Tamandua tetradactyla: one gene and its partners. The protein of the gene in region 4 purifies or fractionates together with the protein of the main gene of each other region. This does not show direct contact. Links are inferred from orthologs where the notes say so. Each region holds a gene or a part of one and is shown on either strand. Other genes may lie near its edges. The genes, in order: LARP1, CNOT2, CNOT10 and RC3H1.

Evidence for each region.
Region 1: the proteins of RC3H1 (region 4) and LARP1 purify together in Homo sapiens (affinity purification with mass spectrometry, with the first as the bait; 3 studies listed by BioGRID). This does not show direct contact. The link is inferred for Tamandua tetradactyla from reciprocal best matches to the Homo sapiens genes RC3H1 and LARP1.
Region 2: the proteins of RC3H1 (region 4) and CNOT2 purify together in Homo sapiens (affinity purification with mass spectrometry, with the first as the bait; 3 studies listed by BioGRID). This does not show direct contact. The link is inferred for Tamandua tetradactyla from reciprocal best matches to the Homo sapiens genes RC3H1 and CNOT2.
Region 3: the proteins of RC3H1 (region 4) and CNOT10 purify together in Homo sapiens (affinity purification with mass spectrometry, with the first as the bait; 3 studies listed by BioGRID). This does not show direct contact. The link is inferred for Tamandua tetradactyla from reciprocal best matches to the Homo sapiens genes RC3H1 and CNOT10.

What each region holds. Positions count from the first base shown.
Region 1 is NC_135346.1:35,716,948-35,724,656, forward strand, and holds the start of LARP1 (la-related protein 1), read left to right. Parts: upstream 1-4,709; 5' UTR 4,710-4,907; coding exon 4,908-5,337; intron 5,338-7,709. UniProt on the Homo sapiens protein: RNA-binding protein that regulates the translation of specific target mRNA species downstream of the mTORC1 complex, in function of growth signals and nutrient availability.
Region 2 is NC_135333.1:138,798,873-138,806,843, forward strand, and holds the start of CNOT2 (CCR4-NOT transcription complex subunit 2), read left to right. Parts: upstream 1-4,955; 5' UTR 4,956-5,680; coding exon 5,681-5,748; intron 5,749-7,971. UniProt on the Homo sapiens protein: Component of the CCR4-NOT complex which is one of the major cellular mRNA deadenylases and is linked to various cellular processes including bulk mRNA degradation, miRNA-mediated repression, translational repression during translational initiation and general transcription regulation.
Region 3 is NC_135341.1:55,329,597-55,336,938, forward strand, and holds the start of CNOT10 (CCR4-NOT transcription complex subunit 10), read right to left. Parts: upstream 3,018-7,342; 5' UTR 2,921-3,017; coding exon 2,731-2,920; intron 1-2,730. UniProt on the Homo sapiens protein: Component of the CCR4-NOT complex which is one of the major cellular mRNA deadenylases and is linked to various cellular processes including bulk mRNA degradation, miRNA-mediated repression, translational repression during translational initiation and general transcription regulation.
Region 4 is NC_135330.1:27,979,715-27,987,314, forward strand, and holds the start of RC3H1 (roquin-1), read right to left. Parts: upstream 3,020-7,600; 5' UTR 3,018-3,019; coding exon 2,787-3,017; intron 1-2,786. UniProt on the Homo sapiens protein: Post-transcriptional repressor of mRNAs containing a conserved stem loop motif, called constitutive decay element (CDE), which is often located in the 3'-UTR, as in HMGXB3, ICOS, IER3, NFKBID, NFKBIZ, PPP1R10, TNF, TNFRSF4 and in many more mRNAs.

The DNA of each region.
Region 1 (7,709 bases), on a different chromosome or scaffold from region 4:
TGTTAAAATTGATGAAAGATTATTAAAGTAGTACCATTAACTATATTAGGTGTATTTTTCCCCATATATCACCTTATTATCAACACTTTGTGTTAGTGTCCTACATTAGTTATAATTCATAAAATAATATTCTTATAATTGTACTATTAACTAGAGTCCATTATCTACAACAGGGTCCACTGTGTTACACAGTCATATGTTTTATCTTTTACTTTTATTGTAGTAACATAGATGACCTAAAGTTTCCCCTTTTAACCACACTGACATCTTTACTTCAGTGTTGTTAATTACACTCACTGTGATGTGCTATCATCACCACCATCCATTACCAAAACTTTACAATCAACCCAAATGAAATTTTGAACAAATTAAGTAAATCCCCATTCTGTACCCCAATCCATCCCCCAGTAACCTATATTCTAGATTTTAACTCTGAGTTTGCTTATATATAGTTAGTTTATATTAGTGAGACCATACAATATTTGTCCATTTGTGTCTGGCTTATTTTACTCAGCATAATGTCCTGAAGGTTCATCCTGTTGTCACATGCATCAGGACTTCATTCCTTTTTATGACTGGGTAATATTCCCTTGTATATAAAGACTACTTTCTGATTATCCATTCATCAGTTAATGGGCACTTGGGTTGCTTCCATCTTTTGGCAACTGTGAATAATGCCCTTATGAACATTGGTGTGCAAATGTGCTTGAGTCCCTACTTTCAATTTTTCTGGGTATATACCTAGTAGCACCGTTGCTGAATCCTGTGATGTATTTTAAGCTCTGGGCACAAGCTAGGCACCATCCATTATCAAAACCTTACAATCAACCCAAATAGAAATTTTGAACACCTTCTGCTTAAAGCAGATCTTGTTTGATCTCTTTTATCTGGCCCAAGGTCACATATTGCTTAATTATTTTAAATAACCCTCAGAGTTTACTTCTGGAGAGACAGGGTTCAACTTTTTTCATATCTTCCCCAGGCCTGAGTATTTAATAAGCTTCCCATAAACACTTGTGGATATGGCAATGGAGGGAAGGGAGGCAGGGGGAAGTGTGTGGTATGGTAGGTAACAGCAAGGCCTAAGAGGTTAGGTGAAAAAGGTTACCTTCTTTTATGATAGCAGCTCCAGGGCCTACCACAGTGCCTGGCACATAGTAGGAGCTCAGTAGATATTTGCGGAAAGAATTAAGGCCTATTTCATTGTGTTAGAGTGACAATTAAATGAGAAATGAACATTGAATATTTCTCATAGAACATAAATGTACTAATTGCTCAATAAAAGTAGCTGCTCTACTTCTTTGGGTAGTATTTATATCTAGAAATAAATATATGGATATAGAATGCCATCATGGGACAGGAATCAAACGATCAATTAACAACAAATTCCAATTCCATCATTTTATGAAGGAAAAACTACCAGATTTAGTATCATGTGACTTGGGTGTGAGACCTAGCTCTGCCATAAACTTGTTCCTTGGCTAAGGAACTTCACTTAACTTCAATTTCCTGCAAAACAGAGAATGAATATCATTAAGATTCCTTCTACTAGTTCTAACAGCCTCTAAATCTAAGATGTAGTCTCATGCAGGTCTCTTACTATCTCTGGTCCCAGTTTACCCACCTGTAAAATGGCACAGTCTCCCTTTACTTTCTACAAGCAGGGCCTGGTGGTGATGTTTGGATACTACTCTGACTGCTGGGTGACATGAACCCATTACTCGTCCACATAAACCTTGGTCCTCTCACAAGTTGTATGAGGGTACATTTCCCCTCTACCTCCAGTTACAGAAATACAGAAAAGAAGATCAACAATGATGATTTTGTCCTTTATTACAAAGTCTGAAGAGCATCAAATGTGAATAACTTTTTAAAGGAATATTTATCAATGAATAAAATTTAAAAAGTGCATTCCAGTGGCAATGCACAATAATTTACCCTCTGATTAAGGGTATATATGATGCAATTAAGAAGAATTCATTGAGATCCCTTTAATCATTATTTTCCTCGGTACCTCTTTTTGAAGTACTGGCCTTAATCTATATAATTTACACAGCACTTTCGTTAATGTTGTCTCACTTGTTTCCTCACAAAAGTCAAGAGGGTGATGCAAGTCAGACATTTTTTTATCCACATTTTTCCACCAAGAAAGGGTACCCAGGGAGGTATACAGCTGGCCAGTGCTGAGGCTGAGTTCTGGAAAAGCTGGGACCAGACATCAGATTGCCTAGGTATCCCCACCAGCACTTGCCTACAAGAGCCCCACTACCAGTCTTGTGTGGTGGGGCAGTTCCAAGAGTCTTTTCCAATACATTCTCCAGCAGATTACGCATTCTAATCCTTGTTTAGGAGGTGACTACCATTCCAGGCTGTCATGTCTTGAGTAGGTAGGATCAAGACAGCTGAACCACCCTCAGAATGCATAGGCTAGAACTTCACTAAGTGAAGAGTGGGGGCATCTGGTGCAGTGACACCCAGGGGTCTTGTTACACATACAGATTCTGGGTCCAAACCCAGACCATGCCTGATTCCAAAGACTTTGGAATCTATTTTCAGGAAAGTCTTATCACCCACACTAGAGTAGCCCATCTATTTTTAGTTAAATATTTTTATTGATACATCTTCATACACATACATTCCATTAAGTGGTATACAATCAATGGCTCACGATATCATCACATAGTCGTGTATTCATCATGATCATTTTTAGAACATTTGCATCATTCCAAAAAAAGAAAAAGGAAAAAGAAAAAACTAATACCTCCCATACCCCTTACCTCTCCGTTTCATTGACCACTAGTATTTCCATCTACCCGTTCATTTTACCCCTTATCACCTACTCTTTCTTATCCATATTTTTTTACTCATCTGTCCATATGCTGGATAAAAGGAGCTTTAGACACCAGGCTTTCACAATCACACAGTCACATTGTAAAAGTTATATCTTTATACAGTCGTCTTCAAGAATCAAGGCTACTGGAACACGGCTTAACAGTTTCAGGTACTTCCCTCCACCCACCCCAATATACCATCAACTAAAAAGAGGTATCTATATAATGCTTAAGAATGATCTCCAAGATAACCTCTCCACTGTGTTTGAAATTTCTCAGCCACAGAAACTATTTTGTCTCATTTCTCTCTTCCCTCTTTTGGTCAAGGAGGCTTTCTCAGTCCCATGATGCTGGGTCCGGTTCATCCCAGGAGTTCTCTTCCATGTTGCCAGGGATATTTACACCCCTGGAAGTCATGCCCCAGGTAGCGGGGGGAATAGCCCATCTATTTTAGCTATTACTGAGGTTGACTGTCTTCACAGATACTATATGAGAACTTTTTGTATCACTTAAGTTTGTTTACTGTCTCTTTCCCCACCTTAGAATGTAAGCTCCATGAGGGCAGGGACATTATTAACCTGATTGATTGCCAAACCCGTTTCCTGCTCTATGCAGGCTCCACAGTGGGATATCAGTAAATATTATGGAATTGAATGTGCACTAAAGTTTGAAACCACAGTCATAGACCAGTTCTTTGTTCTACAATGGAGAATCTAAGACCCACGTAGAGGTAAACGACTGTCAGAGTTGGTAAAGGAGGTGGTTCTGGCCAGGATAAAATCTCAGATCTCGGGGTCCCAATCAGGCGTTGGTTCAACTCTGCCCAAATCATTACTTTAAAAAAAAAAACAACCGAAATCCACTTGAAAGAAAAGACATTTCCTGCTCATAAAGAATCAGTTTTAGGGGGCCTAGCAGGGGTGGAGGCTGTTAGTATTCCGCTCCCACTTCCTAGGAGCCCGCTGCCCTCACGAGTTAAGGGCCACCTTCCGGGCCCCAAGTCGAACCCGTCCCAGGAGACGAGTCCAGGACTGGGTCCGTTGGGGAGGAGCCGAGCGCGCTCCGCGGAGCTGAGGGCGGCTCGCCCAAGGTCACCCAGGCAGGTCTGGAGAGACTAGGCTCGAAGGGCACCGGGAAGGAGGCCGCGTCTTCAGGCGGATGCGGACCCCTCTCCAGCTGATCCTGGAGGGCGGGGAGTGGTGGTGGTGGTGGTTGTGCCCTTAATGGCTCCTTCTCAGGATTCCGGCATCTAGTTTAGAGAGAGATCAGGCCCGGACGGCCGCGTGGCCCGTCCCCATGTGCTCCACCTGCGGCTGCTCTCACGCGCTGGCCCTTTAAGACACCTCCCCCTTTTTCACCCTCATGTTTCCTGCCCCCATACCGCCCTCCCTGCCGAATTGCATCAGGCACGTGCTCGCCCCCGTCCAGTCTGAGCACCCCCCGCCCCAAAGCCCGGGAGGTGCTCAGAGGAATCTGAGGCGAGGGGAGGGGCGAGGGGCGGGGCCGCGAAGCCGTGCGTGCGCGTTCCCGCTACCTCCGCCTGCCCGCCGCCAAGCGCCAGCCTCGGCGGGCGCGCCCCCGTAGCTCCATCCCCGCCCCTTGCCCGCCTCGTCTCGAGGCGCGCGCCCGCCCGCCGCCTGCCGCGGATCGCGTGGTCTGTTCGGCTCGCCGCGCCTCTCCCCCGTCCGTCCATATTGCTGCAGCCCCCGAGCCGGGAAGCCCGGGCCGCCCCGGGGGCGGGGGGGAGGGAGGGACAGGACGAGAAGCCTGCCGGGTTCGGGGTGGGGGCGCCTTACGAGGAACGGGCGGGGGGGGACGCGCGCCGAGGAGGCCTGGACCGCAGAGTGGGGGGCCCTCCTCCCCCCACCCCCCCCGCCCCGCCAGCAGGCCTCGGATCTACGGCGGCTGCATCCGACCCGGAGGGTGCCGGCACCTAGCGTGAGCCCCGACACTTCTCTGCAGGGACTGGGGCCCAGCGTCCCGAAGAAAGGCGTCGCGGGCGCTCTGCGAGCCAAGTTCGAGGCGGGGGAGGCGGCCTCGGGCGCGCCCGGCTTCTCCGGGGGGGCGGGCGCGCAGATGGCCACTCAGGTGGAGCCGCTGCTGCCGGGGGGAGCCCCGCTCTTGCAGGCCGAAGAGCACGGGGGGCTGGTGAGGAAGAAGCCGCCGCCGCAGCAGCCCGAGGGCAAGGGCGAGCCCGGGGTGAACGACGTCGGAGGGGGGGAGTCGGACGGCGGAGCCCGGAGACCCCGGCCGCCCTGCGCCAAGCCGCACAAGGAGGGCACTGGGCAGCAGGAGCGCGAGAGCCCGCGACCGCCTCAGCCGCCCGGCGCCGAGGGTCCGGCCGTCAGCGACGGGGAGGAGGGCGGCGGCGAGCTGGGCGCTAGCGGAGGAGCGGGCGGCGGCGGGCGCCGAGACTTCGTGGAGGCCCCTCCGCCCAAGGTGAACCCGTGGACTAAGAACGCGTTGCCGCCAGCCCTGGCCACCGTGAACGGACAGTCCCCGCCAGGTGGGTCTCCCTGTCTGTTATCCTGGGTCCGGGTGGCCTCTTCCGGGGATATGGGCGTCCCCTCCCCCAGCGGCCTTCAGGGCCCCGGGGTCCGCCGCGGATCGTGGTGACTCGGTGATTTTTAAAAATTGCCTCCTGGCCCGTTCGGGTGGCCGTGCCCTTCCCCCACCACGCACTGGGGAACCTACCCTGCCAGAGGGCTCGGCCTCCGGGAAGCCACGGCCACCGCCTGGGCGGCAGCGGTTAGTGGGCAACGGCGTGGTCCAGGCCTACTGCGCCGGGAGAGGGTGGGCGCTGGTTTCGGTGAACAGGGCTCTCTGCTCCACCGCGTGTTGGTGTAAGAGACCGTTTCTAGTTTAAATCTCCCCTTCCTCGAGAAGCCCCTCATCCTTCCACCTCACCCTCCCCGTTTTGGTAGCGTTGCAACAGTCCCCATGTTGTAAATGTTTAATGAGTCCATGTCATGAGCAGCAAAGCGCCTGGCGATGAGTTCATACCAACCACAAGGTCTCGGGATTTAAAAGTTAACAAATATTGCTCTCGAGTAGATGATATTAGGCTGTCGAATCGCCATCTGGAGACGGGTTAAGGGGTCAGCTACAGGGAGAATGGGGAGAGGAGGAAACCCAACGTGTCATTGAATTCGGTGATTTCTCTCCCGGATCTCTGGGGTCTTCCGTCTTGAGAGGGAACCCGACGGCAACTGGGGGTCGGGGGGATTCTGTTAGGGGGTTGGCGGAAAATGTGAGGCGAGTGAGGGGGCATGTGGAGACACGAGGGGTGTGTGGCGGCGGGGGAGGGAGTGGCCGGGCTGGGCGGGCGGTGACAGTTGGGCCTCTGCGTTGGGCGCCCGGCGCGGAGCTCGGGATGAAAGCTGGTGCGGACGGCTGGCGCACCGCGGCCCTTAGTGTGCGTGTGCGCGAGTGTGATTGCGCGTCCCCCATTCCCGGCATTCCTCCGCAGCTGGGACAACGTGGGGCCTCCCCGCGCGGGGAGCTGCATGTGACCACAGACCTGCGCTCCCTCAGCCATCCTTACCTCCCCATCCCTTTTTTTTTGTTTTGTTTTGTTGTGCTTTGGACCCGGTCCTTTAAAGGGGGGCGGGATTTACAGGAAATCCCAGCAGGGCCGTGTCAGGGTAGGGAGAGAACAAGAGCAGTGCAGAATATGGAGTCTTTTCTTGGTCTCCGTTTGCCCGGAATTGGTCTTCCACTTGGAGGGGGTACTCTTACCCCTTCGGGTGCGTGAGGTCACGGTGGATCTCTCATTGGTTTTGGATCCTCTGACGTGGGCCAGTGTTAAAACCCCGCTTTTAGTTAGAATGTTGGCTTGTAGCCATAGGCCTAGTGCTTTTTCAGAACTACCCTTCTGCAGTCCCTGGTTGAGGCTGACTGGTCTAAAACCATCAAAATGGGAATGTGGAAGGGGGAGAGTTTAATGCTTTCACGTTAAAGGGAGTAAAATCACATTCTTAGTCCTAAGGAAACCACAATAGCTAATACTGAAAACGGCATGTTGCGATTTTTATTTCTTTTAAGGTTGCTTCCTTTGGCGGAGGGGACTTTTTACTAATAGTGCCTCAGACCGTGTTCTCTTCCTGCTGCCCCCCACTTCTCCCCTTTCCATTCGAGAACCCTCTTATGCAAAGAGCAGTGCTGAAACCTCCATTTTCTTGCAAATACCTCCCTGATCCACCCACAAAGGGAGGGAAAGCAACTTTAAAACACACTTTGGTCCTTCCCTCTCTTTAAACTCAAAGGGGTATAATCATCCCCAGGAGAGAACACTCCTCAGAAGTTTAAATGGGGCTTCTTACCCTGGCTACTGCAGCTTAGCTAATAGTGAACCTGCCTTGTGGGTTTTAAATCAGCCATGACATCAGGTGGTATTGGGTGCCTGAGTTGGCATTTTGTGCAAGTCCAGGGGCCCTTCATAGGGTGCGTCACTGGGTTATTGATCGTGGGAAGAAGACAGCTTGGCTGGCATGTCTCCTTGCTCTCTGAACGGAGAAGTAGACTTGTCTTAAGTACTTAAAGCAAAAATCTGAGTGAAAGGAAATTTGCCCTGTTACTGTCTTTCTGGAAGCTTAAGGGTAGAGGGTGTCAACTCATTAATTTGAACGTTTGGAGTAGTCTTTGATAGATAACTCAGAATAAATCCAGTAACTTCTTTGTTTTGGCCTGTTAAGGCCTAGATGCTTTTTGAGTGCAAAGTCTTGGAATTGGATAGTCTGTCTGCTGGTTAGGTGGTCGCCCTTTCTCTAGAGTGTCTGGTGCTTTAAGGCTCTTTTCTAACCCTGATTTTATTTGCAGCCTGGACAAGTTTAAATGTGACACCTGTGGAGTGGCTGTGTGGTCTTGTGAATTTTTGTT
Region 2 (7,971 bases), on a different chromosome or scaffold from region 4:
ATAAAAACAGAGAAGCAAATGGCAGGTAGAAAAAAAAATTGCACAAGCAAAAGCCCTGAAACAGTGGTTAAGATTAGGTTCCACTGAAGACAAGAGACCCAAAAACCTGGCTATGGTGGCTTGGTGTTATGTACTCCAGAAAACTATATTCTTAAACTTAACCTATTCTTGTAGGTGTGAACCCTTGTAAAAAGTACCTTTTGATGAGTTAAGGGGTGGTTCAACTGAATCAGGATGGGTCTTAATCCTGTTACTGAGGGCCTTATAGGGAAGATCACAGAGAGAAAGTCACAGGGAGTGGCCAAACAGAGAAGAAACCAGGAGAAAACGCCAGGTGCAGTGCCTAGTGACAGAAAAGCTAAGGACTAAGGATTGCCAGCAGCCAGCCCCAGAATGCCCAGTCTTCTGGGAGAAAGCACTGCCTTGATGACTTCAAAATCAAGACTTTTATTCTTAAAAATACAAGCAATAAATATCCATTGTTTAAGCAAACCCATTGCACGTTTTTTGCTTTAGCAGCCAGGAAACTAAAAACCTGGCTTTAATAGAAGTTTATTTTTTTCACATCAAAATCTGGATGTAAGGTGTGCAGAGCTAGTATAGTGCTCTGATGCACAAAGTCCTCAAGGTTCCAGGTCTACCAGTTTAAGGTACTACCATCCCTAGGATGGATGAATTTGCATATGGCCATACATGGAAACTAGAATTACAGGCAATCACATCTTCATTTCAGGGTGCAAAATATACGAAGAGGAAAAGAAAACAAGGGCTAAAGGTGTGCACCGGATATATTTTTAAGGATGGTTTTGAAAGGGTGCTACATGACACTTCTGCTTATATTCCATTGGCCAGAACCATCTCATGGCTACAAGGAAAGATGGAAATACAGTCTTCATTCTGGACTATATCCATTACCATGAAACAAATGGAGCAATTTCAGGGAACTAAAAGTCTCTGCTACAGATTGGAAAGTGCTTAGTACCAGACAGAAATAAAAAGGAGGCAATGGAAAGGCAGGAGAACAAGATGAAGTTGGAGTGGTAGGTAGAAGCCATATCATGCAGACTTGAGGGCCATGGTAAAGAATTTGGATTTTATTCTATGTGCACAGGAAAGCCACTGAAGGGTTCTAATGAAAAGAGTGACATAACCTAATGAAACTGATTACTCTGGCTATGTAGAGAATGATTTGAAGGAATTAGGGGCAAAGTGGAAGCAAAGAGATAGTGTGGATATTGCAGTGGTCCAGCAAGAAATGACAGTGGCTCAGACAGGATGATGGGATTGGAGGTGAAGAAAAGTAGCTAAATTCAGAATATATTTGTAATTAAGAGCTGATACTGGCTGATGAGGTCAGAGTTTGAATGTGAGGGACAAGAGGAATCACAGAAGATTCCTAGTTTTACACTAGAGTGTTTTATGGAAATGGGAAAGACCAGGTGAGAAAAAGGTTTAGGGAATAAACAAGAGGAAGTCAAATGTTCCCGTTTTTTTTTGCATGAGCAGGCACCAGGAAACGAACTGGTTTTCCGGCATGGCAGGTGAGAACTCTACCTGCTGAGCCACTGTGGCCCACCCAAATGTTCTGTTTTAGACATATTAAATTGAGATATCTGTTCTTTCTATCCCTTGTTATAGTGAAATTTTCAGTATTGGTCCACCCCTTTTAAAATATGGAAGACTCTTTTCTACAATAGTTATATAAGGTACATGTTCTAGTTTGCTAGCTGCTGGGATGCAATATGAAAGAAACAGAATGGCTTTTAAGAAGGGGAATTTAATAAGCTGCAAGTTTATAATTCTAAGGCCAAAGAGATGTCCCAATTAAAACAAATCTATAGAAATGTCCAATCTAAGGTATCCAGGACAAGATACCTTGACTCAAGAAGGCTGATGAAGTTCAGGGTTTCTCTCTCAAGCGAGAAGGCACATGGCGAACACAGTCAGGGTTTCTCTCTCAGCTGGAAGGGCACATGGCAAACATGGTGTCATCTGCTAGCTTTCTCTCCTGGCTTCCAGGTTCATGAAGCTCCCCAGGAGGCGTTTTCCTTCTCCATCTCCAAAGGTCGTTGGCTCATGGATTCTCTACTTCGTAGTGCTGCAGCATCTTCTGCTCTCTCCAAATCCTCTTCATTCTCCAAAATGTTTTCTCTTTTATAGGACTCCAGAAACTTCTCAAGACCCACCCAAATGGGTGGAAACATGTCATCATCTAATTCAGCTTAACAACCACTCTTGATTAAACTACATCTCTAAGGAGATAATCTGATTAGTTTCAAACATACAGTATTGAATAGGGATTATTCTACCTTTATGAAATGGGATATACATACACCCTTTCAAACCAGCACAGTAGATAAGGTATTTTTTTCCCTCAGCCTACATCAGTAGTTTTCCTATAAAATGTAGAGGAATCTACCTTACATGTATTTTGAAAATATACAAAATACATATCTATAAGTACAGACTATTTTTCAAGTACAAGAAAAATCTATTAAAGAGAACAGAAGGGCAAATTTGTTAAATATTAGCAATAAACTTGTTAACGCAGAAGGACAATTTTTTATATGTACCATTTACTGACTGCTTACTAGCAAACCATAAATATACTAAGCCCTTAACAAATGTTGACACATTTAATACTTAGAATCACCCTCTAAGGTATGCATTAAAGACATTTTACAAATTTGTAATCAATCGGACACAAGCAATAGGACAATTAAAAAACTCTTCTTCACCAAGGCTAAAAGTGAAGTCATCCTAAATAAACAGTATTAAGTAAGCAATAGTATCAGTGTATTTTCTCCTAACAGTCCTAACCTAGATACTTAAATTCATGAAAATGTTTGCTGTTCCATTTACCTCTTCCAGTAAACAACCCAAGGTAACAAAATCCTCAAATCAGACCTGTCCTGTTTGGAAATGATTTCTCCAATTTTACTAACGTTTATACTATTTAAGACTTGTGCTCTTCTAAGTAAATATAGGAACAGTGAGAACAAGGTACACCATTTGGCCTTAACAGAGTTCTATATGTAAAACAAATTAATAGCTTAACATAGCAAACAATACTCGGTGTTTACTATATGGTTAGAAGCATGCGCCCAATTTTCATCATCTATCTTATGATTCCAAATTACTAATAGTTATACTTTCAAATTGTTAATAGCGAGATTAGAAGGCTCAGTAATGCTGAGTACTATCATATACATATACATACTTGATATGGAGGCATATCCAGTCAGCTTACCGTGGTAGAGGCCAACATCAGAGGAAGAGAAACCAGAAGAGGCCGGAAGGAACTGCTGGGGAAAACGGGAGGAAAGTAAGAACATAAAGAAATGTGTGTTGCTCCTCTCTGAATATTCCTGAAGCAAAAAGCACAACGAAGCAGAATATTTAATGAAAGGAAAGACTAACTGGGCAAAACACTCTCTGGCTACAACAGCATCATTTGGAGGTTAAATAAATTCATACAGTATCTACTGAAAAATCAAAATACCTTGCACTTCAAAGCATGACAATTACCTTTATTTTATAGTAAGCTTATTTTTCTTGTTATTTTTTACTGACAGAGAATCCTTTACTGTTCAATGACAAATTTTAAATTGGATTATAAAGGAATAAAGAGAGAAGATTTACTATTGCAAAGAAAGCTCACTTTGAGCTACGATTATTTTTCTGGAAAGCAGACTAATCCCCTGCAGTTCTCACCAAAGCCACTATAATTTCAAATGCCTTGCTGATGGCCCGGCCAATCACTCAAGTTTACATGGGAAGTGGGGGCTAGAGAAGCAGTAAATACCAAGCTCAGCTAGCGCAAACTCACAAAACAGTGCTTTAAAACAAGCAAACAAACAAAAAACTGCTCCCGCCCAAACTCCTCCCCCTAGATTTAGAAAAAAATAAAAATAAAAATAAAGGAAGGGCAGTGAGTAGAAAATAGCAATGGTTTCGGCAAAGTGGAACTCACTTCTCAGGAGGTGACGGTGACGTGCTGCCGGTGCCTGGAAGTGCGTGCAAAAGCACCGGAGGCTGCGGGGGCTGAGGAAGGACATGTGGACAGCGATCAGGTTTGCTTCAGGTGACGGGAGACAGGAAGGGCACCACTCAAGGTGGACGTGGGAGAACGAGGAATCCTACCCAAACACAAACACGCTCCGCATCCCCAGAGAGGGCTGACTGACGCCACCTCACCATTCCTCGAACCAAGGACCACGGCCCAGTCCGAAGCAACCAGGCCCTAGGGGGACAGTAGTGGCCGCAGTGGCTCCCGCTCGTCGTAACCGCCGCGGACGAGTGACAAGCTACCCAGTGTGTGGGGACAGAAACAGCGGAGGCCACAGAGAGAGCGGTGGAGAAATGAAGAGCCTTTTCTCAAACCCTCTCATGCCTACGGGAAGCTGTCTGCCCACCGCCTAAACCCGATCCATTCGGCAAACGTAGCTCCCACCTCCAGCCGCCGCCGCCGCCGCTTTGAGGGAAGCCGGAGCACGGGGGTCACGGCGGGGGTCAGAGGGTAAAGGTCTTGCTCCCAGCAGCCTCTGCGGTGGATACGTCGCCATCTTGGATCCGCGGGACAAGAAAATTCATGCGGTGAGTTTTTGGCAAATTTTCGGAAGTCTGGCAGCGGGGCACGCGGCGGGGACGGCGGATTCGGGGCCCTCGCAAGGCGGGGGAATGCCTCGGGGCCGGTCCGGTCGCGCCCGGGGTCCGCGGGCAGCGTCCCGGCCTGCAGCTTCCCTTTGCTTTTGTCTCGGCTCCAATCGAGAGGGAGAGCGGAGCGGGCGGGGAGGGGGGGTGGCGGTGGTGGAGGGAGGGAGGGGGTGTGTATGGTGGGGGGGTGGATGGGACGTAAAGCGTCGCTCTGCTTGGGCCGCTGCAGCGGCAGCTTGGGAGCTGAAGGCTGGGTCCCGCCCGCGGATGGCGGGGCTTCCCCTAGATTTGGCTTCCCCAGGCTCCCGCCGCCGCCGCGCTGCTTCCTGGGGAAGAACAGACGGCGGCTGAGGACCCCGGGCCCATTTTAAACAGCGCTACCACCTTCCTAGTAGCTGCTGCGGTCTCCGGATCCTCACATTATCTCGCTACATGCATATCACCCGCAACTTGTGTGTGTTTCTATATGTGTGTGTGTTTGGTGTAAGGTGGGGGGCACTGGATTGGCTAACGGGCCTCAGGCGTCTCCAGACCTTGGGATACCGAAGGCTATAGTTGGTGGAGGGGGAGTGCAACTGTGATGCTGCTTCTCCCACCGCACCCGGAGGGTGAATCTTCGGTGGTGGTGTAGGAACTGAGTCCGATTGGTCCTTGGGCGGCGGAGGAACCCGAGACGCTTCTGTCTGTGAAGTTGCTAGCCTTAGGTTTTCACTTCCGCCGGAGCCTCTTTACCTCTTGCTGCTTTGGCTCTAACTTAAAAGTTTCACGGAAGAAATGAGTGGGCTAGCAGAGGCCCTCGTAGTTCTTACTTGATCTCTGTGGTCCGTCTAGGAGATAGCCTCTAATTCTTGCTAACTATGGTCCATAGCGAATGCGAATTATAATTTTTCTTTAACGAAAGCGTTTTCTAGATTTTAGAATTTGTATTTATTTCAGAACTGTGGGTACGGTGTTCTTACCATAACAGTGTTACATACGGGTACCACTCTCGGAAGGAACCTAAACATCAATTTCGAATCCTAGGATGCAGCTTCACTTTTTAACATCCAGAAGACGCGGTGCAAACACATTCTGTTTCATTTTCATATCTTGGTCAGTTGATCCTACTCCATTCGTAATCATCTGAACGATTCCTAATAATTCGATACCCTGATATCAAGCCTTAAGATTTTTGGCTAATGGTAGGAAGTACTGAGCTTACAAAAGCTGTTCATGAGGGAGGCCAGACTTGAATTTGGATTTCAGAGTTGAACGTATTTCCTGTAATGTTTAATATTAGCAATTTCTAGCGCTCTAATCACAAGTGCAACTCATAATTTGCCTTTGACGCAACATAAGCGGGAATAATAAAGTATGAGGTGGGCGGGCGAGATAGAAATTTGAAAGTTATCTACTTACATATCAATTTTTTGTTGCGTTGTTTGGGAATACTTGGTATATTCTACAACACTTCTTTTGCAATTTTGGAAAGTGGCTTTTCCCAGATATATAAAGGACTGATTGAGAATCACCGCACTGAAGTAGTTAACGTTTCAAAATCTACATTCACATCTCTTTCATTTGCAATGTTTCTTAATCATTAGTAAACTTTGTAGGTTGAATTCCTCTGAAGTTTGCAGTTCTTTTGTAATATTAAATGCTAAAGGAAAAGGAAAGTAAAATGCTTTAAAAAGACAAAATTCCTTACACTCCATCCATTTTTTACTTGACTTTGTGATATGCTCAGTTAATTTTAAAAAGGTGGTCTCCCCACATTTTTTTCCTGAGAGTCTTTCATTTTAGTGATTTCTGTGACTGCTTTGCTATTTTGACAGGAAGTGAGAAACTGTATTTTACATTTTTTGCATCCTAAATAATCCTGCATCAACATAAGTAAGTTAATTAAAAAACCATTTGTTGGCAGATTTTGTTCAGTAAGTATATAGTAGAGATTTCTGTGGCCTAATCTGATACTGTTAGGGAATGAGAGTTGCCTGTATATTTAACTAACCAAAGAATGAAACTTTTTTTTAATTTTCAATTTCTATAACACTTCCGTTGCAAATTAAATTAATATGACGGAAAAATGAAGGCCTAATGTATAAGTGTGAGTAACTGTATCCCTCTCTGTTTGAGTACCTAATCTTGAAGCTAAAATAAGACTCAGAATGACATGCTTACCTAAAAGAATGAGAAACTTGTTTTAATACTTTATAACTTTAGATGTTTGATTTACTCTTTTCATTTTTCAGAGATGCTTTAGTAGTTATAACCTGGAAATTCTCTTTGTTCAAAAGTAAATCAATACTTAAGATTTATGGTGACATTTCATTAGAAATGCTTCTGATCCATTTGTTTTGTTTTTTCTCTCTTCAGTAGACATTGACATTCCAAGTAATTGTATTTTGAAAAACAATTGTAACATTTTTCAGATGCTGTGGGAAGTTAGTTTTGCCCTTTTTAGTGACAAATTTGCTTAAGATTTTCTGATAATACAGAAAAATTTTAAAACGTTTCCGTTGTATATATGAAATAATGAATAGATATTAATAGATTAGTAGAAACTTAGTTTATAATTTTTTTGTTCTTTGAAAAGCAGTGTTAAATGATAATAGTATTTTTTAATGTCTTAAAAAATATTTAACTGTAGAAAACTTAGTTATGATCATATATTTAAAAGCAAATTTTATCACATGTGCCTGCCTGAATAGGCATTTGAAGACAACTTATGCAAACATTGATACAGTCTTCCTTAGAAGAAAGATACTACTGAATATTTATGATTTTATTTGTTACCTGAAACTCTAGTGGATTTTGTAACACAAAGAAACCGAAATACTAGGTAGGGAAGTTTTAGAGGCAGAGTCAATCTGAGTTGCACTGTAATATTTGAATAGAATTATATACAATATTAATAATTGCACATCAAGGGGCCTACCTAGTGGTATGATTGTAGTCATTCAGATTGATAATACAGGTGATTGTTCTTACTAGGGATGATTTCTACCTGTGGTACTTATAGGAATTGAATTCATTATGATATTTTGGAAAGAGCTCTACTAAGTTGATGTTTATTAAAAGGAAAAGTACTGCAAAAACAATGAAATTAAGGTTTTACATTTCAAAAATTATTTTTGAATTTATACCTTGGTTTTGTTTACTGAAACTTTCCTCAATATAAATATATGTTTTCTGTTTCTTGTATTAGTTTTTCTAATAAAATCCTTGTATTTCTCTTGGAAAAACTCATCTCTTATCACAAACATGCTATACTGATATAGCTTGTTGATTTATATACTATTGTCTATTTTATTAGGGATGACCTGGATTTAGAAT
Region 3 (7,342 bases), on a different chromosome or scaffold from region 4:
CATTAGACCCACCTGTAAATATACAACTCAATGGTGTTAATTACATTCAATGTTGCACTATCATCATCTCCATCCACCACCTAAACTTTCCTGTCACCCAGACAGACATTCTATACCCTTTAAGCATTAACCCCCCATTCCCCAATCAACATACATTGGTTGACCTCTAATCTAATCTACTGGTAACCTCTAATTTCTGTCTCTAAAAGTTTGCATATTCAAATTATTTGACATAAGTAAAATCATACAACATTTGTTCTTTTGTGCCGGGCTTCTGTCACTCAATAGGTCTTCAAGGTTAACACTGTAGTAAAGATCAGAACTTCATCTCTTTTTATGGTTATATAATGTCCTACTGTATGTATTTTGTTTATCCTTTCATTGGTTGACGGGAACTTGGGTTGCTTCCATCTTTCTACATTTGTGAATAATGTCTCTATGAATATCAGTGTACAAATATCTGTTGTGAGTCCCTGCTTTCTATTTTTGGGGGTATATATCTAGAAGTGAGATTGTCAGGTCATTTTGTAGTTCTCTGTTTAACATTTTGAATTGCCTAACTGTTTTCCACAATAGTTGTACCATTTTACATTTCCACCAACAAGGTACAAGGGTTCCAATTTCTCTATATCTTCACTGACAATTGCTGTTTTCTACTAAAAAAAAAAAAAAAAATCCATCCCAGTGGGTGTGAAGCAGCATATCACTGCAGTTTTGATTTGCATTTCCCTAATGATTAATGATGTTGAGCATCTTTTCATGTGTTTATTGGCCATTTGCACATCTTCTTTGGAGAACTGTCTATTCATGTCCTTTGCTCATTTTTAAGTTGTATTGTCTTTGCTGTTGCTGTTGAGTTTTAAGAGTTCTTTATATATATTCTGGATATTAAACCCTTATTAGATATATGGTTTCTAAATATTTTCTCCCATTCTGTAGGTTGCCTTTTCACTTTCTTGATGATATCCTTTGATGCAAAGTTTTTAATTTTGATGTAATCCAATTTTTTTTTCTTTTGTTGCTTGTGCTGTTGGTATAAAAGTCTAAGAATCCAAACCACTGACTAAAACAATGTATTGAATGTTTGTTTAAATTATCATAACAAACATGGATTACTCTTTAAAGAATATCTGCTCAAAATTAATATAAATGAGTTTAGAAATTAGGCGAGTATTTATCTTCGGGTGGCTAGTGACCAAAAGATGCGTGCAGAGGGCTTCTGGGGTACTAGTAATGGTTTGGTTCTTAATTTGAGTGCTGATTACATGGGTGTGGTTGGTGTATGAGAATTCATCACACTGTATGTATGCTAATGGCATTTTTTCATAACTATTTATAAACCTGTATTCCAGAAGCATCTCAAAGAACCAACACTCTCAGCAAGTTAAGTTTGGGAAACACTTGCCTGGCACTTGTGAGAAGTCACTAAAGATTTCCAACTTCCTTTTCTAAAGAAGGCAACATGATATAATTAAGAGCACAAGCTTTGAAATCACATCTTTAGTCTAGTCTTTCATTGGCTATCTACCTGCCCTTTATTGGAAATGCTAAATAAACATTAATTCTCTCCCCCCTTTTCTTTTGCCAGAAATAAGGATTCTTGCAGTTATGTTTTTTAATGTACTGACTTCTGCACTTTAAACATACAAATTAACAAATTAATTTAAAGTGGCTTGATTATGGAACAGTTTTTTAGGCCCTATGAAACTCCTTGAAGATCAGAAACCCTTTTGAGAATCATCACTATACTAAATATATAACTTCTACTTAAGAGAACTTATCTAAGCCTTAAGATCTGCCCTACAAAAGGCTTTTTTTTAAATTAGAAATGTTTATTTCTGCTAATTAAAGTTAGCAGATAAATCAGTATTCCATTTCCATCTCAGCATAGTCAAATAAACACTAAGAATTCACTACTAAAGGGAAGGAGGAAAAACTGATAGTTTAACGAACAATTTAAAAAGACAATGTTGAACACTTTTTTTCTATTGAAAGCCAGTAACGAGTTTAATTGCACAACTACCAACTATCTACACACTAGTCCTTTGGCAAAACTTTCATGTGGACAATAAACTGTAAGAAACAATTACTTTAAAATCAGTAAAAATATGACACAGAGTTTCAGGATCTCAGAAAGCAAGATAATGATCTTAGGTTGAAAGCAAAATCCTCAGCTAAACATAAAATTATAATAAAGTGTTAACAATGAAAATTAATACTTTTTTGTTTCTTAAGATCTAAACAGGAAACTAATTAAAAAAATTTATCTTCCCTCATAAGAACTTGCATAATCAGTTTAAATCAAATGCCCAAAATTCTTAGTATGCCTTCAAGTTATCTCTACAGCTTCTTCCAAAATATGCCCATTGTCAGATAATGACATAAATAAAGGACAGAAGGAAATACCCAGTAATTCACCAAGAAGTTGAAGTATAGTGGCTCACGTAGGCACTGCTTTCATTATTCCCCTAGGAATTGTAAAAGTCTAATACTCTCTAGAAAAGAAAAGAACATACATTTCAGAGATCTGAGCTCAATAAAAAATCTTTTTACATATTCTCCAACTATGGTTTTACCTAAATTCTTTTACTGCAGGATGAAAATTTTGTTTTTTTAAAATAGACTTTAATGGGATTTCTATCTTTACTTTCCTTTTATCTTTCTGCACTTTTCAAGTTTTCTGCAAGGATTAGACATTATTTCTGTAATCAGTTTTTAAACTGTTCTTACCAGATAGAATCTGCACATAATTCCACAATATGTCTTTGTTTGTCCCACTGCCAACCGAAAGAGTAAAGGACTGTTCATCCATAAGCTTGACTTTTCTTCCTCTATGACCTAAAGAACATGGCTGACTTTCTCGGCGTACAGAGCTCTTTGATCCACAAACTCTGACACTCTTTAAGCCAACAGACTTCATTTCTAACCAAATAATTCCCTTTATGTTTTAACTAAGTAGAAGAGAAATGCACTCACTGCTTTTTGAAAACTGAAAGAAGCCAGTTAACTGAAAGCTTAACACATTCCAAAACAGAATGTTAACAATACATATCTGATTGGAACATGAGCTTCCCTCCAAGCTGTGCTTGTCAAAATACAGCTCCAATGATGTTTGAGTGAAAAAAAGTTCCCAAAGAAAAAAGAAATGTTAACGCCTAAGGAAATCTAATGCAGAAAACACTTACCAGGCCTTCGTGGACAAAAGTTTTAAATAACAAGGATGCCAAAACTAAATGTCAACAGGTGGGAGGATTGGGAAAGGGGTATGGATTCTTTGTGGAAGAAAAGGAAATGTCTTCTGATAGAGTATGGTGGTGAAGGCATATCTATTCACTTAGGTTGGATTGTATGATGTGTGAATAAAACTATTTAAAAATGAACAGAGAGAAACAAGTGCCAGAGAAAACGCAGAGAAAGAGATATACTTATTCACTATCGGTAGGGAATGAGAGGTGCAGCCGCTTGGAGGGCAGTGTGGTGGTTCTACAGGAGGCTAGGGGTAGGTTTGCCATATGATCCTCAAACTCCATTGCTTAATATATACCTGGAGGAACTGAGTGTGGGACACAAATGGACATGTGCACACTGGTGTTTCTGGCAGCACTGTTTGTGATCCATAATGAACAGAGGTGGCCTAAGGGAACAATGAATGAGGAATGGAAGGGGAAATTATGGTGTACACATACAATAGACTACTGAGTAGCAGCAAGAAGGAATGAAGTTGTGAGGCATGCAACTAGGTGAATGAACCTGAAGAGCTGTACGCTGAATGAAATTCAGGGACAAAAAGACAAATATTATCATGCCTCAATCTTATCAACTAACTATAATATAAAAATTCTGTGAACTAAAGTAGAAAGCCTGGGTTATCAGGTTGGAACTTACTGTACAAGGTCCTAGACTGTAAGCTGTTACAGCTGTCACATATATTCAGGAAGTGTAACTGTTAATTCTAAATTCTGAGATACTGAGCTGTTTGTATATAACACGGTCTTTCCCTGAAAGTTAGAGCTCTGAAGCTATTAAAGTCAGCAGTACCACCAACAAGAACTGTTTAAAAATTTGAAAAATTGATCAGACATCAAGTAGAGATACTAATGAAGCTGATCGGGATAGGACTAAGGTATATCAGAAGACTGGGTAAACGATGATATTGTCCATATTTTAAAACTTCAACTTCTGTGTGAGACTAAAGGGAGAGATATATTTGGGGTTGTTCATTCCCTAATTTTTTTTTTAATTTTGTAAAAAACATTTTTTTGCTTTAGTCTCACATATAAGGTGACATTTTAAAATATTAATTACCATGTATTTGCAGCACTGTGCAATAATGACATTCCTTTGTTCTTCCTCAAGCAAAAACATTTTAAAATTTGTACATTTCATCAATATTATTATACACTCTAGGCATTTCTAGATTATGCCATCTCAATCTTTAACATCTATCGTTCTTTCTGATTTCATTTATGTCCCCAGCCCTCCTCCCTCTATCATTCTCACATGCAGCTTCATTCAGTGTTTTAACATAATTGTATTACAGTTAGGTAGTATAGTGCCCTCAATTTCTGAGTTTTGTATTCAGTCCTGTGCACAGTCTGTATCCCTTCAGCTCCAATTACCCAATATCTTACCCTATTTCTATCTCCTGATGGTCTCTGTTACCAACGAAATATTCCAAGTTTATTCACTAATGTCAGTTCATATCAGTGAGACCATAAGTATTTGTCCTTTTGTTTTTGGCTAGTCTCACCAACATAATGTTCTCAAGGTCCATCCATGTCGTTACATACTTCACAACTTTATTCTGTCTTAAAGCTGTATAATATTCCATCGTATGTATATACCACACTTTGTTTAGCTACTCGTCTTTTTTTTTTTATTAATTAACGGAAAAAAAGAAATTAACCCAACATTTAGAAATCATACCATTCTACATATGCAATCAGTAATTCTTAACATCATCACATAGATGCATGATCATCGTTTCTTAATACATTTGCATCGGTTTAGAAGAACTAGCAACACAACAGAAAAAGATATAGAATGTTAATATAGAGAAAAAAATAAAATAATAATAGTAAAAAAAACAAAAAAACAAAAACCTATAGCTCAGATGCAGCTTCATTCAGTGTTTTAACATGATTACTTTACAATTAGGTATTATTGTGCTGTCCATTTTTGAGTTTTTGTATCTAGTACTGTTGCACACTCTGTATCCCTTCAGCTCCAATTACCCATTATCTTACCCTGTTTCTAACTCCTGCTGGTCGCTGTTACCAGTGACATATTCCAAGTTTATTCTCGTATGTCGGTTCACATAAGTGGGACCATACAGTATTTGTCCTTTAGTTTTTGGCTAGACTCACTCAGCATAATGTTCTCTAGGTCCATCCATGTTATTACATGCTTCATAAGTTTATCCTGTCTAAAAGCTGCATAATATTCCATCGTATGTATATACCACAGTTTGTTTAGCCACTCTTCTGTTGATGGACATTTTGGCTGTTTCCATCTCTTTGCAATTGTAAATAACGCTGCTATAAACATTGGTGTGCAAATGTCCGTTTGTGTCTTTGCCCTTAAGTCCTTTGAGTAGATACCTAGCAATGGTATTGCTGGGTCGTATGGCAATTCTATATTCAGCTTTTTGAGGAACCGCCAAACTGCCTTCCACAGTGGTTGCACCATTTGACATTCCCACCAACAGTGGATAAGTGTGCCTCTTTCTCCGCATCCTCTCCAGCACTTGTCATTTTCTGTTTTGTTGATAATGGCCATTCTGGTGGGTGTGAGATGATATCTCATTGTGGTTTTGATTTGCATTTCTCTAATGGTCAGGGACATTGAGCATCTCTTCATGTGCCTTTTGGCCATTTGTATTTCCTCTTCTGAGAGGTGTCTGTTCAAGTCTTTTTCCCATTTTGTAATTGGGTTGGCTGTCTTTTTGTTGTTGAGATGAACAATCTCTTTATAAATTCTGGATACTAGACCTTTATCTGATATGTCATTTCCAAATATTGTCTCCCATTGTGTAGGCTGTCTTTCTACTTTCTTGATGAAGTTCTTTGATGCACAAAAGTGTTTAATTTTGAGGAGCTCCCATTTATTTATTTCCTTCTTCAGTGCTCTTGCTTTAGGTTTAAGGTCCATAAAACCACCTCCAATTGTAAGTTTCATAAGATATCTCCCTACATTTTCCTCTAACTGTTTTATGGTATGGACCTAACATTTAGATCTTTGATCCATTTTGAGTTAACTTTTGTATAGGGTGTGAGATATGGGTCTTCTTTCATTCTTTTGCATATGGATATCCAGTTCTCTAGGAACCATTTATTGAAGAGACTGTTCTGTCCCAGGTGAGTTGGCTTGACTGCCTTATCAAAGATCAAATGTCCATAGATGAGAGGGTCTATATCTGAGCACTCTATTCGATTCCATTGGTCGATATATCTATCTTTATGCCAATACCATGCTGTTTTGACCACTGTGGCTTCATCATATGCCTTAAAGTCAGGCAGCGCGAGACCTCCAGCTTCGTTTTTTTTCCTCAAGATGTTTTTAGCAATTCTGGGCACCCTGCCCTTCCAGATAAATTTGCTTATTGGTTTCTCTATTTCTGAAAAATAAGTTGTTGGGATTTTGATTGGTATTGCATTGAATCTGTAAATCAATTTAGGTAGGATTGACATCTTAACTATATTTAGTCTTCCAATCCATGAACATGGTATGCCCTTCCATCTATTTAGGTCTTCTGTGATTTCTTTTAACAGTTTTTTGTAGTTTTCTTTATATAGGTTTTTTGTCTCTTTAGTTAAATTTATTCCTAGGTATTTTATTCTTTAGTTGCAATTGTAAATGGGATTCGTTTCTTGATTTCCCCCTCAGCTTGTTCATTACTAGTGTATACAAATGCTACAGGTTTTTGAATGTTGATCTTGTAACCTGCTACTTTGCTGTACTCATTTATTAGCTCTAGTGGTTTTGTTGTGGATTTTTCCGGGTTTTCGACGTATAGTATCATATCGTCTGCAAACAGTGATAGTTTTACTTCTTCCTTTCCAATTTTGATGCCTTGTATTTCTTTTTCTTGTCTAATTGCTTTGGCTAGAACCTCCAACACAATGTTGAATAATAGTGGTGATAGTGGACATCCTTGTCTTGTTCCTGATCTTAGGGGGAAAGTTTTCAATTTTTCCCCATTGAGGATGATATTAGCTGTGGGTTTTTCATATATTCCCTCTATCTCATCTGTTGATGGACATTTTGGCTGTTTCCATCTCTTTGCAACTGTAAATAATGCTGCGATAAACATTGGTGTGCAAACGTCCGTTTGTGTCTTTGC
Region 4 (7,600 bases):
GATCCTATAAAAGCTGCAAGCACTACGTTTACTTTTCAGAAACCTAAAATCTTCAGATGGATAAGTCCTGAAACCCAAAGGTGCCAGTCTCTCCAAGAACATGAGCCAGCTCCATGCCCCAATCCCATATTATCAATAACCCCTTTCAATGCAAAAAAAAAAAAAAAAAAATTAAAATGGGCACAACCCAATTATCTATCTCTCAAGATTAAGGGAAGGACCAAAGGAGAAGGAGGAGTTAGAAGAGAGAATAAGATTTAACAAATGAGTAGGACTACCGAATCATTATATTGGTATTTCTTTTTACTCTCCAGTGTCTAGGAGCAGCTAGAAGGAAAAACCTGGAATTGTAGAACTGTATCCCATACCAAATTTGAAATTTGTTCTATAACTGCTCGTTAAAGTGCACTTTGAAATTTATTGCTTTTTTGTATATACATTTCACAATAAAAAAGGTTATAAAAAACTCAATGTTCAAATGTGTTCTCTAAGAGAAAAAGTTGATTTCAAGTAATATAGAAGACAACAAAATAAACAAACTGGGATATAAAAAAACCAAAAAGATAAAATTTAGAAATATAAAGAACAACAAATCAATAACAAAAGACAAGCATCTAATAGATATATGTGAAAACACGTGATGACACAAAGTAAAAATAAAAGAGAAAAGCAAAATAAGACATTTTCACTCATTATAGTGGAGGGAAAGACATTTTTAAAAATGAATATTTAATGTCAGGCAATGGGCTCTCATAAGTTATTGATGGTTATTTAGAGTGGAACATCTTTTTATGAGGGCTATTTGCAATATCTTTTACAATTTAAAATATGTATACTCTTTTACCCCAAAATTTTATTTTTAGATACTAATCTTAAAAAAAATTTTTATTAAGAAATCTCACTGCAATACTGCTTGTAATAGGAAAAAGAAAACTCACAATCAAAATATAATAAAAGAGGAATATTTACTTAAACCACAACAAATTCATACTTTGGAATAGGCTGCTGCCAAATAAAGAAGGTAATGCTGACATGGAAAGCCTTCCTGGATAAATTCAGTGGACAAAAAGTAAGCTGAAGGAAAAAGAGTATGAGCAAAGTACTACAGAAACGAAGCTACACATTTTATTTATCTGGAAAGATAAATGTGGTAACACTGGCTAATTTGGAAACAGAAGGAGAATATTCATTTTCTTTATACTGCTTGTGCAATTAAAAAAAAGGACACAAAGAAAGAAAAAGAAATGAACTAAGGTTTTAAATATATTTCAAATATGAAGTGAAACATTTTCCCATCCTACTAACCTAACCCATGAATCCTCAGAAGAGACTTTTCAAAAGATGGCCTACTAGAAAAATTACATATAAATTCAATTTGTTAAAATAAACACTGTAACTACATGTACTGTTTAGCAATATGACGTTTCATTCTTTTCCTACTGAGAAAATTTCTTTTCCTGAGAAAATTTTGCCCCCTACCCCACCTGGCTTTTACACACTACTGGAAGATTTGGATAAAATTGGTTGAATTGACGTTCTAGATTTAGTCATATGGAGGTCAACTCCTAAATCAGACATATTTGAAGTCATCCACACTCAGTTTTTGCTACATTCTAAATACCATGTTAAGAGTCTGGGGATACACTGATCACATTACATTATCTTTGATCGCAAGGAATGTACAGCATAGAGGCTATGCAGGCATTAACATTTCTAATCCTCAAATTTCATTGACATTAGCTATTTCAGTAAGCTATGAAAAGTTTTTATTTTGGAAAAAAAATCAGTTCATTCTGAGACAACTTTAAGGAAGAAAGTAAGCCTTATTGTTATTAAGAATGTTACATTTCCAAAACAGCTATCCCCAACAAATACTTCCGAAGTGTGATACAGGAAAAATTTTCAAATAAAAATGAGAAAATGCTTATGAAATGAATAATTAAGTATGGATGGAGAAATATTAAGAATCAATCACACTTTCCCATTTTATAAATATTTTTTGTAGCATTACTGATGACAACATCAAAACAGGCTTGTAAATAAAAAACCCTCTGAATAAGCTATTCTCCAACAATTCTCATTACCTCCAAGCATATACAATATCAACTTCACCAGCTTTTCAGAAGCTTACGGGAAGAGTACTCTAGAAAGATCAGTGTGGCTAGATCCAAAGTTCTAGCTTGTTTATCCAGAAAATAATTTATGGAAAATATATGGGACTTCATAATTACACTGTTCAAATTTAGTAGTGAGGATTATCTAAGTGAAGTGTATTTGGCTTTCAAAAACCTGCATTCAAATTATTACCTTCAGAATTACTAGACTTTTATATTTAGATACTTAGGGATATTCTTTTTTAACTGTTAAATAAACGGTTCCCAAAATTTGTGTTTTACTGTTTTTTGTCTCTTCCTTATCTTTCATTTCTGTGTCTATCAAGTAAATATGTTTGAAGCAACTTCACCTCTCTGAATGAGTAAAGTACAGTAATTTTGTGAATCATGTTTCTCAAAGAGAAGTGATTCTTACTACCTACCTCTTAGATTTCTCTAGTGATCTGAATAGTTAGGATTATTGAAAAGTCTGATCACCAGATACAATGTATATCATGAAAAACACTGAACAAAATATGCTCCTAATATCACGGAAATAAAGGATTTATATCTATTTACATCTACTTAAACAGAAGATTATTTTACCCAATTGCAATTCAAAAGATTTCTCTCAGGAGAAACACACACACACACACACACAGAACTAAAAAAGTGTTATGACACCCATCTTACCTGAGCACCCACCAGCTGTAGTAGTGCCGAGTTCACTGGGAGGAGCTCAATGTCTGTATTGATAGTGGTCTGGTCAAATGGGCAAGCCTTGCGGTGTAGTTTATTCAGGCACATCTTGCAGACAGTATGGCCACAACCCAAACTGATAGGCTTTCGAATTGTTTCGTCGAAAGTCTGAGTGCAAATTGGGCAGGAAAGGAAATCCGTCCATTGTGGAGCTTGTACAGGCATTGCTTCTGGAGTTACAATTCACTAACATACACCAAAAGATCTAAAGCAAAGATTCCACTGGAATCAAAATCTTTGAAAAGTTTGTCTTTTTTTTTTAAATATCTTCTGTAGATACAGTCAGCACATAGTGTGAAATATAACCTGAAAAATAAAGAAAAACAACTGAGAATGCCTTTCTTTCAATAAACTTTTGATAAAGATCACAAGTCCAATATTACCCTATAACCTTCACATACTGTATTTCTATCATAATATATTCTTTTTCACTTTCACAGAATTAGAGTCATAATAATTTGAGTCTAATCCCCTCATTTTAGACACGAGAATAGATGAAAAAACTTGCCTAAAGTGATACTTAGTAATAAAGTCATCCAGGACCTAATTTGCTCAGTTTATAGAAGTTTCGGTGTTTTTTTTTTTAATATTTAAAAATTAGTCTTTTCTAGGGGTCTAATAATGTTCTGTTTCTTGGTCTAGATACTGATTACATGGGTGTGTTCAGCTGTGGAAATTCATCAATCTCTACATTTATGTGCACCTTTTGTATCTTACAATAAAGAGTTGCTGCTCTTTTTAAACTGGCCCAGCATAAAAACTCCCCTAAAATATTTATCAAATTAGGTGGGGGTAATAAGATAAAAAGAGACTTTCTAAAGGTATTTTTAAGAGTTTACAAACTGGTTGAACAATGCCTCTTTTAAAAGCCCCCGGTACAGCCTATACCTGTTGCTGAAATATGCTATTAGAACACAGTTAAAATTATTTATTTCAAAAGATTTTTTAACCCCCAAATTTAAAAATGGTAGAATAATTATAATTGGTTAGAATCCAATTATCTAGAACCCATGTATAATCAAATTTCACTTTATTATTCTTTCTTTTTTTGGTAAACACTTAAGATTTTTTTCTTCAATGATTTTTTTAATTGAGATACGATCATCTAATGTGTATAATCAGTGCTCCATAGTATCATCACAAACCTGTGCATTCATCATTATGATCAATTTTTGGAACATTTTCATTACTCCAAAAACAATAAAGAATAAAAATAAAAGTAAAAAAGAACACCAAAACATCCCATACCCTCCCTATTGTTTACTTATTCGTCTTTTTCATTTGTTTCTTACTCATCTGTCTATTCACTGGATAAAGGGAATGTCAGTCACAAGTTTTCACCCTCACATGTTCATACCTTAAAAGCTCTTTAGTTACTCAATCCTCTTCAAGAATCAAAGATATTGGATTACAGTTCAACAGTTTCAGGTATTTCCCTCTAGCTACTCCAATACAAAAACTCAAAAGGGATATCTATATACTACGTCAGAATAACTTCTAGAATGACCTCTTGACTCTATTTGAAATCTCTCAGCCACAGAAACTTTAATTTGCTTCATTTATCTTCCCCCTTTGGTCAAGAAGGTTCCATTTTTCTACCTTCCATTTTCAGTGGTGGATAAAAGCTAAATCACTTGTATCTATCAGAAATTTTCTTTACAATGCCTACTAAACCTACTATGACTATAGCGCTTTAAAAATGAGAAATGATGCCCAGAGCGATAATAAAGTACTACAGCATTACAAATTACTAATGATATGAATACGCTCAGGAAAGTCTGCTTACAAAGATGAAATCTTATTCAAGCTGTAATTAACTAGAAAAGTAAATCATCTTCAGGTTTTGTTCTTCAAACATTACATTTAATTCATGTTTTATTGAAATAATTTAAACTTGAATGTAAGTCAAATATTGATGAGAGAACAGTTTCCTTCAGGTATGCAAAACATTTTAGCCATCCACAATATTTATCAACAAATATTTAATAAGTACTACAATGTGCCAGACTGTGTGAATTGTGGTGGATACAGTGAAATGACAGTCACGGTTATCTACCTTCATGGAGTTGAGAGTCTAGTAAGCCTCAGCTTTGTTTAGGCTTTTGCAAAGCATGTGATCAGATGAATGGACAATGGAAAAACTTTTAATAACCTAGTAAACAGTTCCAAAATTTCAGGTTCTGGATCTAAAATTAAAGTTATCTGCATATGTGTTCAGATAGCCTTTGCAATAAAAAGAAAGTTTAAGAAATTGCCCAAATTTTTATTTCTATAAAAAAGCATTATAAGTGCTCCCTTCGGCAGCACATATACTAAAATTGGAACGATACAGAGAAGATTAGCATGGCCCCTGCGCAAGGATGACACGCAAATTCGTGAAGCGTTCCATACTGTTTTTTTTAAATAAAGAAATATAAAAAAAGCATTATAAATACTTATAACAAAATGCATCTAAACGTAGATTATGAGTAGGTACAAGCAGGATTATATTATATTATTTCTATTTAATATATTGAAACTGTCATCTGAAATGCTAACAAAGTACAATATCTAATCACTTAATTGGCATAGTAAAATGCTACAGTTGTGTCTGGAATTGTAGCATATTTCAAAATAAAGAACTGAGAAGTATTTTAGAAGAATAATTATCTGAATGACAGAAGGATATTAAGTCAGAAAATGCATGCTGAAGCTCATTAAGTCAATAAAGAATAAGCCACAGGAAACTTTCTATAGATTAGGACTGTCTGTATTAATGTTTTTGAAGAATCCGACTCTTTGCAAAGGAGAGCTAACTGTTCCCATCTTTTTACTAGAATGGCCTTAATATGTTTTACTATTTATAGAGCTATATGCCACATATGCTAAATGCCTTACACAGGGCAAAACTATAAAAGGTAGTTACTACTGTTATCTGTGTACTAGCGTTTATATAAACCAATGTCACAATAGTTATTGGCAAACTTTTTGCCAAATCTAATGGTCAGGTCATTGGTCTAATCTTAGTTATCTGTACAGTAAGATATAAAGTAGATGAACACCTCCCTCCTTCTTGAAAGTGCCAAAGCCACTTACTTTACTGGCTTTATTTCTGATTTCTTATACTTCTAAATGCTGGAGATGTCACAAGTTCTGTCTTGGACCTCCTTTTCTCAGCATTCTCTAGTTAAACACCCTGAAATAAATTCCATTATATTTAAAATAAAATCCAGATTTCTTACTCTAGTTTACAAAGCCTTTAATGTTACAACCTGAAATTTGTATCTCTCCACCTTCTTCTAATGCTTGTTCCTTTCATACCTACTACTTTCCAATTACTCAGGTGAAGCTTGTTTTCATCTTAGGTCCCTGCCCACTTGGGATTGAAGAGTCTCCTTTTATCATTCAGATTCACCCAAAGAATACTGTAGGTTAGGATTTTTTAATCTGGAGTTTATGAATACCCTAGGGGTCTAGGAATAGATTTTCATAGTTCTATCTACTCTTTGGAATCATATGCAATACTTTTAATTCCCAAATTGATGTGAGGTTTCTTGGTGGACAAGACAGATTTGGTGCCTATTCTTATCTTATCAAAACTAGGCACTGAGTAAACAAAATGTGGGCAAGAAAAATATAATTTTATAGATAATGGAAATGTTTTGAAGAGAACTGAAATAGAGTGATGAAACTGAGAGTGATTTGGAGGTTGTTTTAGAGTTTAAATGGCCAGGGAAGGCTTATAAGTATTGCATATCATTTCAAAGAGTTGATAGAACTATGAAAATCTATTCCTAGACCCCTAGGGTATTCATAAATTCCAGATTAAAAAATCCTAACCTACAGTATTCTTTCATGAAATCTTAAAATTAAGCAACAAGTATCTGAGTATTTACTTTACATCCAGCACTATGGAATATGGAAAACAAGCAGGAAATATAGTCAACATCAGTCTTAGAGACATAAAATATCTTACTGCTTTCCCACATGATTTTAAGTCAATGCTATTACAAAAAACTTCCCAAATTATTCTGTTGTAACAAAAAGTGTTTAAAATAGAATCATAAAATTTAATTAGTAAAAGGTGTCTTAAAGAACATCTAGTTCTACCCTAATTTTTCAAGATAACTCACATTCATTGATCTTTACCAGTAACAAGTCTTACTAAACTTTATGAAACATGTTTTGTTTAATCCTTAAAAACCCAAAGGTTTTTTCCTTATTTTTAGAGTAACAAAATAACATTCAAAAAACTTGCTCAAGGTCATACAATTAATAAATAAGTAGCCAAGACAGAACAGAACAAACTCATTATCTACCTGATACTAAAGCCCAAGCATTTTCAACTATTCCATTTTATATGATGTGGAGAACAAAGGCAAAAACAAGGAAAATAATTTTGCTCAAAGTCGTGCAAAGTTGCTAATGGCATAGTTGGGATTGAAGCCAAGTTCCTGACTCCTAAAGTTTTACTGTTTTTTCCCTCTCCTCAGATTGTCTTATACAAACCCACCACTGAAACCCTAAAAGATTTTGAAAATATTCTTGTCATTTCAAAACTATAGTAAAATTTTGGCATTGATCAAGGCAACCATTAACCTTAGAGATTATATGAAACCTTGTTTAAATAAATACACATGCTTATTCTTTTGGGAAAAGGATCCATGGTTTGTTTGTTTTTACTATAGAAGCCGTGGATTTACAAAATAATTATACATAAAGCTTCACTCATATCTCCTTTACAGCTCTTTTAACAGTTGCTGTATGGG